2 linked regions of the Kluyveromyces lactis genome follow. The protein of the gene in region 1 purifies or fractionates together with the protein of each later gene. This does not show direct contact. Links are inferred from orthologs where the notes say so. Each region holds a gene or a part of one and is shown on either strand. Other genes may lie near its edges.

Region 1 (3,485 bases):
ATGACCACTGGATCTGTTCTTGGGAAACACACATTTGAAACAGCTGCGTCCCTTACCGAGCATTTAACAGATTCGTCGTTATTTCCACATTGTAATTTGGTTCCACCATGGACAGGAAATACTTTCGATGCACATCCGGGACAAAACAAAAACTTTCTCAGCCAATCTAAGTACATGTTTGCATGAGAGAAGAGCGAAGCAACTTCATTGCTTAGGTTGAATGCTTGCATCCTCCCAAGTGGTTCGTATTGATCTAGTATGAACTTTGTCTCCGACTTTTGAACTAGAGTATCGGACGCTGGCCGCAAATCCATGGCAAACAATGGGGTACCGGTGTACTCCTTGTAAGAAAAACTGCTGTCACCATCCATCAACCCTAAAAACGTTATTGTGAACCCGGATTCAACTAACCATCCTCTCTCGGTATCCATGACAGATCTTATCTTGTTTAGTAAGCCTGGCCATTCCGAGTAGTTAGGACAACCTTGATGTCCTAACATTAATAAATTGGTACCAGACTTGTCACTAGTCTCAGTTGCGAATGCTGCCCCATTGATAAACGGTACAAACTGAGTACTTCCATGTTCGAACGCTTGCTTGATGAAAACCTCGTCGTCCCTTAGGAATGACACTCTATTGATAGTTTCCAATCCGAAAAAGGTTACACTTCTTTCCATATGTACTGCGCTATCAGGCTAACCACACTATACGGGTACTAAATTGATCGAACTCCAAGTACAACAACCTCTCCAGCGATCAAAACGACAATGCGACTAGGTTGTGCACTGAATATACACGTATAAATCCAACTGTTCCCGGTCATTATGTGGATGTGACTGCAAACCATGCTTTGGAAATTACCCTACCATATATCACGTGATCATAAGTTTCTACTATCCCCTTCGTAGAAAAAAGAAACACTATTATTTTTTGTACCAAAAATTGAAATTGAAATCAACTTAACCACAATTAATCACCATGTTTGATATTTCATTGGTGGAGTTAGAGCATTAGACGGAGAATTTAGTGGGCCATTTGGTGTCATAACACAGGTTAACTGATACGGAAACTCAGATATCAAAGTATAGTTTCAAAACGTCCATCTTTCCCCAACTATATACTTAGGAATTTGACCTTTTTTTTGGTCTCTGTTTTGGTTTATTTTTTTTTTTTTTTCATTTCAGAACTTCAGGTTTAGTTGCAGAATTTCCCTCTCAATTTTGTGAAGTTGAGAAGCAATAAAGCAACAAGCAACTGACATATCTCACTGTACGTTTGTTTCCAGTTGAGTTTGATTATAGGATAAAAATATCTTACTTGATATTTCTGGTATTTGAGCTTGTACATGAGAACGTGGATATAAAGACTTATTTTGAGGTTCTGCGGTATATATACTTTCATTTGATTAGAAATATTGAAGGTAAGACGTGAACAGGAGAAGACAGACATAAGGAACGAAAAAGAAAGATGGATTTAAGAGTTGGTAGAAAGTTCAGGATTGGGCGGAAGATTGGCTCTGGTTCCTTTGGGGACATTTATCATGGGACTAATTTGATTAGTGGTGAAGAAGTCGCTATTAAGTTGGAGCCGATTCGTACGAAGCATCCTCAATTAGACTATGAGTCTCGAGTTTATAAGTATTTGAGCGGCGGTATTGGAATACCATTCATCAGATGGTTTGGGAAGGAAGGTGAATACAATGCTATGGTGATCGATCTTTTGGGTCCGTCTTTGGAAGATTTATTTAACTATTGTCATAGGAAATTTTCTTTTAAGACCGTAATCATGCTTGCTCTGCAGATGATCTGTCGAATCCAATACATTCATGGCAGATCTTTCATTCATAGAGATATTAAACCGGACAATTTCTTGATGGGTGTCGGAAGACGTGGATCCACCGTGCATGTTATTGATTTTGGTTTATCCAAGAAGTATAGAGATTTTAGAAGTCATAACCATATCCCATACCGAGAAAATAAGAACCTTACTGGTACTGCACGTTATGCCAGTGTCAATACGCATCTTGGGATCGAACAAAGTAGACGTGACGATTTGGAGAGTTTGGGTTACGTGTTGATATATTTCTGCAAAGGGTCCTTACCATGGCAGGGGCTCAGAGCCACGACAAAAAGACAAAAATACGACCGTATCATGGAAAAGAAATTGTGCATCACCGTCGAACAACTATGTCAAGGTTTACCTATGGAATTTGTTGAATACATGAGATATTGTAGGAACCTCAGATTCGATGAAAGACCAGATTATATGTATTTGGCTCGTTTGTTCAAGGATTTGTTCATCAAGTTGGAATACCATAATGATCATTTGTTTGATTGGACCATGTTGCGTTACACAAAAGCCATGATCGACAAACAAGGAGGCGCCCAAGCATTGGAACAAAAAGATGAAAATGGTAATAAACAGGATTCATTTGATAAAGTGAAACAATTGGCTATGAAGAAATTTTCAACACATTTCCACTATTGGAAACCAGATGATACTTCTCATCCAACTGCTGAAGACATAAAACAACAGACTATCCTAAACACCCAAGTTATCTCCACGATCCCAGATGAAGTCATGAATGCTATCGACAGAAACATGGAACAGTTGAAGCACGAAGTGAACCAACAGGTGGCGTCTCAACCACAACAAGGACAACCACAAGGACAAACTCAGGGACAAGGACAAACTCAGGGACAAGGACAACCACAATCAGGTCAGCAACTAGATACACAGTTACCTCAACCTACCACGTTACTACAACAGCAAAGGGCACAAGTTCAAGGTCAACAAGAACAGATGTTACAACAGCAACAACAACAACAACAACAACAGCAGCAACAACAGCAGCAACAACAGCTTCTGCAACAGCAACTGCAAACACAACAACAAACGCATCCAAATGCAATGGCTATCACCAACCCACTACCAAACCCTAATAACACCACCAAAACTACCACTACCAATAATATCTGGCTTTAAACGCAAAAGACGAAAACAATGCGCAAACAGTTGCAAAATCTGTAGAGTAGAAAAAATCACACACGCTCATACATATATACAACTCATCATCAGTTAATCATGGGCTTCTAACCCACATTGGTTATAAATTATAACTCGGAAATCTGTTACCTAATTCACACTTATATTTCTTTCTTATATGTACTTGAATAGTGGAACATGGGGGAGAACACACACAGGGATTTTCTCACCAACATGAGCAACCATGAAAGTAAGCTGGTTACTGAATCGGCAGCTGACACAGGTTTACGGTACTCGCAGTTCACAGCTCATTGTTGCTGCTGCTGAAGTTTCCCTCCTCATCCTTGGCAAGGCCATTATCGCAATATACGAATTCCACTACTAAATATCGAAAAAGGGTTTCTGTTCCTCACATGAACAGTGAATTGTGAAAAACTAGACCAAAGGAAAACTAACAACAAAAGGAGAGTCAACTGTGGTGAGAAAAAGAGAGCAATCTA
Region 2 (4,116 bases), about 620 kb from region 1:
ATTGCCTTTCCATTCATTACTGAACTTAAACTTACCTTGCTCGATTGATTGTGTTTTTCAGAGCTTCTTCCTGCCATATTCCTAGCTTGTATGCTAGCAGTAAGCCTCTCCTTCCGAATGTCACATCCAATCCTATCTCCCGATGGTAATATCGGTCCAATTCCAAAATACGCTATTTCCCATAGCTAGTCATTCCTTACGATCCTTTTGTAAATACGAACATCGCTTAGCACTGTTTTCGTTCGAATTACTTTTCCCAGTCTGAGTGAATTTACTATGCGAAACATCGCTACCGTCCAGAAATCGGCCAATAGAACACAATCGACAGAAAACGCTAAAAAAAAAGATGATTGAAGCAATACAGTTTTACGGTAGTTTCTATGAAAACACCCGGACACCACACCATAAAGCTCGTCTTTCCGGCTTCTGAGGAATTTATCGTAACAAAGCTAGTAAGCTCCAACAGTTGCAGAGCTTAGCCCTCTGACTCCTGAGTGTGTCCGGAAGAAAGAACCAATAGGAATATTACTGAAGCACGGTAAAGTTTAATTCTGTGCCACGTCACAGCAAATCACAGCTCAGGGATCAAAAATAGACCTGGTGGTTGATCTGACTACTTTTGTTTCTAGGGTAATACGCTCATGTCCTAAGAAAAAATGACTAACCAAAAGAGCTATCCCCGGGTAAGAAGTAGTTTCGCGGCTCTAAATAATAAGCGTTCATAAAATTTCCGTGCTTTTTATGGGGGATTCCCTCTGTTAAATCTCTGCAGCATATCAGAATGCTTCTTTTCCCTCCGTATCAGAATGACAGAAAATAAAGAAAACTGATAATTTGACAAAAAAAAAAAGTAGAAAACAGAAAGTAGAGAAATAGGAAAAGAGAAAACTTCATATATCTATAGAATCAAATATTCATCCCTACCGGTAATATTGGCTCAGCGGTCAATCAAGAAGTAAGCACAAAAGTTGATATTAAAAGGGAGCTACAGAGTCAGTAAAGCTTAGTTTCTCTGTATAGAATAAGCTTCAAGCTGGAATCATCTCTCTTATATTCACTGATTGACTTGGTCTTTTTTCCCTTCCCTGTCACGCTGGACTAATTGCATCATTATTGACCGTTGAATTATTTACTGTCTCACTTTGTTAATTTGGAGGGTTGATAGATATTATATTGGCTTCCATAAGACGAATCTAACTTTACCGTAAAATAAGAGTACCTTGGGATAATTGTCCTTCTTTTTTGACAGGAAAGGTATTTAGTTCGGACTTATTGTTTCTTCTCTACATCGTTCAAATAGTGGGTTAAAAGACAGGATGCACTTCAAATCATTGAAATGTAAGTTCTACTGTAAGGGGTATCATTCCTCTGCACATAAATCGGCAACGTCCTTTTTTGATAGCTCGTACCAGTATTTGAAACAGAATCAGGGACTTGTGAACTTGGATACTGCTATTCCTCAACATAACATTTTGACTGCTGTTCCACATCCCGTAGTGGTGGCCAACGTTAATTATAATAACGTGGAAAGGGCTTTACAGAGTAGAGACGCAGAGCTGTCGAGATTAGAATCAGAGGAGCTAAATTTATTTTATGAAAAGGATGGTGAAATTTTCTATTCTGGCGAACATGATGTAAATTATTCGAAGAAGAGCTCGTATGGTGCCAACCACAATAAGAAGAAGAGATCCAACTCGTTTACCTATCTATCGAATGAAAAATCTGCTCTAATTAACGAGAAGTTGTCTACCCGTTATTATTCTACCAAGGTACAAAATTCTCAAAATAATGCAAATAACAATCTACGAGCAACTCCGATCACTCCTCCAACTTCACCTCCTGTCGAAAAGCATCATAGTTTAGAGAAATCTGGAGCGAAAGAACAAACGGATAAAGGTGCAGTGCCGGAAGCTCTCTTAGATCGTTTAAAAGATGTAAGATTGGATGACTCAATCCCGGCATGGGAAACAGATTTGGAACCATGTTTGAATAAAGAAGCATTTTTAGAAACACAATCTAAGCTGATAGAAGATTGCATGAAGAACAAAAATTATAATCAGGTTAACGCAATTTATAAATCGTTGATAAGAAATGAAATTGTTCCTCCGTTGTCATTATTTGAACAAGTTTTGACTTCTATTTGCAGAAGGGACTTAGATCAAAATAATATCGATAACCAAATGTTTGAATTACTTAACTGTTACCAAGATATAATTCAGAATAAATTAAAACCAAGCGCAGAAATCTATCACCTTGTTGTAGGTTCATTGTTGTCTGGATCAATCAGAGCGTTTGAGTTACACAACACCAATGGATTAGATTTTTTCAAAATTGCCATTGATCTGTTCTTTGCTTCTAATTTGAATAAGAATAAGTCCTTCGACCATGAGTTTTTAGATAATCTTTTGTTGGCTATCAATTTATACCCTGGCCACATAAAGTACGGCTATATCAAGAATTTCATTGATTCAAACGTGAAGTATTCAAAGAATGAAATCTATTACATTTCTTTAATCTCGTACGCCAAGATGTTGAACGAACATGAGGCAGTAAAAGACCTTTATCAAGATTTTAGATCAGAACTTCTGAAAAATATGCAATTGGTTGAACACCAATATGAAGTGTACTCTGTCGTCGTATCAGCTTTTGCTGAAACTGGATCGTTAAGTTTAGCTACAAAGCTCTTAGATAAGCTTCTTGTGGATCTACAAGCAAAAGATGGGCATAACAAGAACGTTTCTTTGGTCATTTCGAACTTTTTGATATCTGTCGGTAAAATAAATTCGGAAAAGGCATATAAGTTGTTGATGGAATTCAGTAAATTAAAATGGGTACCAGAATTCTCTTATGAATTCTACTTGGTCATGATCGCAAACTGCCTCAATACTAATTGGCCATTGGTGAAAAGAATATACAATTATATTTTCCCTATGAAAACGTCATTCAACACCACGAAAAACGATAATAAAATCAAAAATTATTTATTGTATCCAAGTGGATTGGAATCGATGCCCAGCACTATATTGACATACGCCCTAAGGCAAAAAGACGACGAGCTCATTATGAAATTGGTCGAAGAATCGAATGTGAAAAAGACTACATTCCAAAGAGGATTGTACCCTTACATTTTTAGCTACTTCCAAAGCATAGGTTGCCCGGAGCCTTACTTACTTCGTTTTGTGAATATTCATGGTTCTGCACTTTCAACCGATAGCAAGCCTCTAGTATTCGAATTTTTGAATGCATTGGTCGAAAACTATCAATCGCAACCTATCTTGAAGAAGGTATCAGAAATGCCTTTCTTTAAGAGTGCCTGTGAAGCGTTCACTCTTGAAAACGCTTCTGCAGTTAATTACGCAGGTTTCATTGTTTGTTTCCAAACGTTGTGGAAAACTCCTCAATTGATTCAGGATTATTCTTACAATCTTGAATTGCATGGAATAGCTGTTTCGAGATTATATGATCTAGATACCTACTATTTGGATATTCAAAATGAGATGTTGTTAGATTTCAAAAAACAAATGGCTGAAAGATTCCAAAAGCTTTGCGTTAACTACAAACGAATTCATTTGGATGCCAACAAGATTTCCCCTGTAGCAATTCAAGCTATGAAAATGGTCGATCTTTCCGAAGATACTGTGGCTTATTTCCAACACCCTGGTGACTGGGACAAATCTTACCCATTAAGCTTGGGTCCGGTATTGCGTAACTCCAAAAGGACAGGGTTCAAGCAATATGAAAGACTTTCCGAAGATGGCTACAAATTTGATTATGATACTTTCTCCGAATTGATTCACCAGAAATACATAACCTCTGATGTTATAACCAAGACTATCAATTTATGTCCAGACAAGGAAACCCTCAAGTATATCTCTAATTGTATTGTTGTGAAATGTCCAAAGAATCTTTTGGAAGAGGAGGTAATTCAACATCAGTTATTCAGTAAGATTCTTGAGAACCTAACAGATAAATCGCTATCAAAGCTTGCGTTAAATTGTGAAAACATCCGGAATTTTATTAATGCTGTTGGTTTCCCCGATAGGTTCAAAAGTATTACTTCTCAAGCGGAGTACAAAGGCGCTACCGCGGTTATATTTGCAGCGCTATTTAGAGCGA

The links. The genes of interacting proteins can lie anywhere in the genome.
Region 2: the proteins of HRR25 (region 1) and RPM2 purify together in Saccharomyces cerevisiae (affinity purification with mass spectrometry, with the first as the bait; 7 studies listed by BioGRID). This does not show direct contact. The link is inferred for Kluyveromyces lactis from reciprocal best matches to the Saccharomyces cerevisiae genes HRR25 and RPM2.

Annotation. Positions count from the first base shown.
Region 1 is NC_006040.1:264,294-267,778, forward strand, and holds HRR25 (serine/threonine protein kinase HRR25), read left to right. Parts: upstream 1-1,467; coding exon 1,468-2,985; downstream 2,986-3,485. Other genes in the region: NPY1 (NAD(+) diphosphatase), read right to left, coding at 1-677. UniProt on the Saccharomyces cerevisiae protein: Protein kinase which phosphorylates serine and threonine residues. Can use casein as a substrate. Phosphorylates elongator complex member ELP1/IKI3 on 'Ser-1198' and 'Ser-1202' which promotes the tRNA modification function of the complex.
Region 2 is NC_006040.1:885,040-889,155, reverse strand, and holds the start of RPM2 (ribonuclease P), read left to right. Parts: upstream 1-1,316; coding exon 1,317-4,116. UniProt on the Saccharomyces cerevisiae protein: Ribonuclease P generates mature tRNA molecules by cleaving their 5'-ends.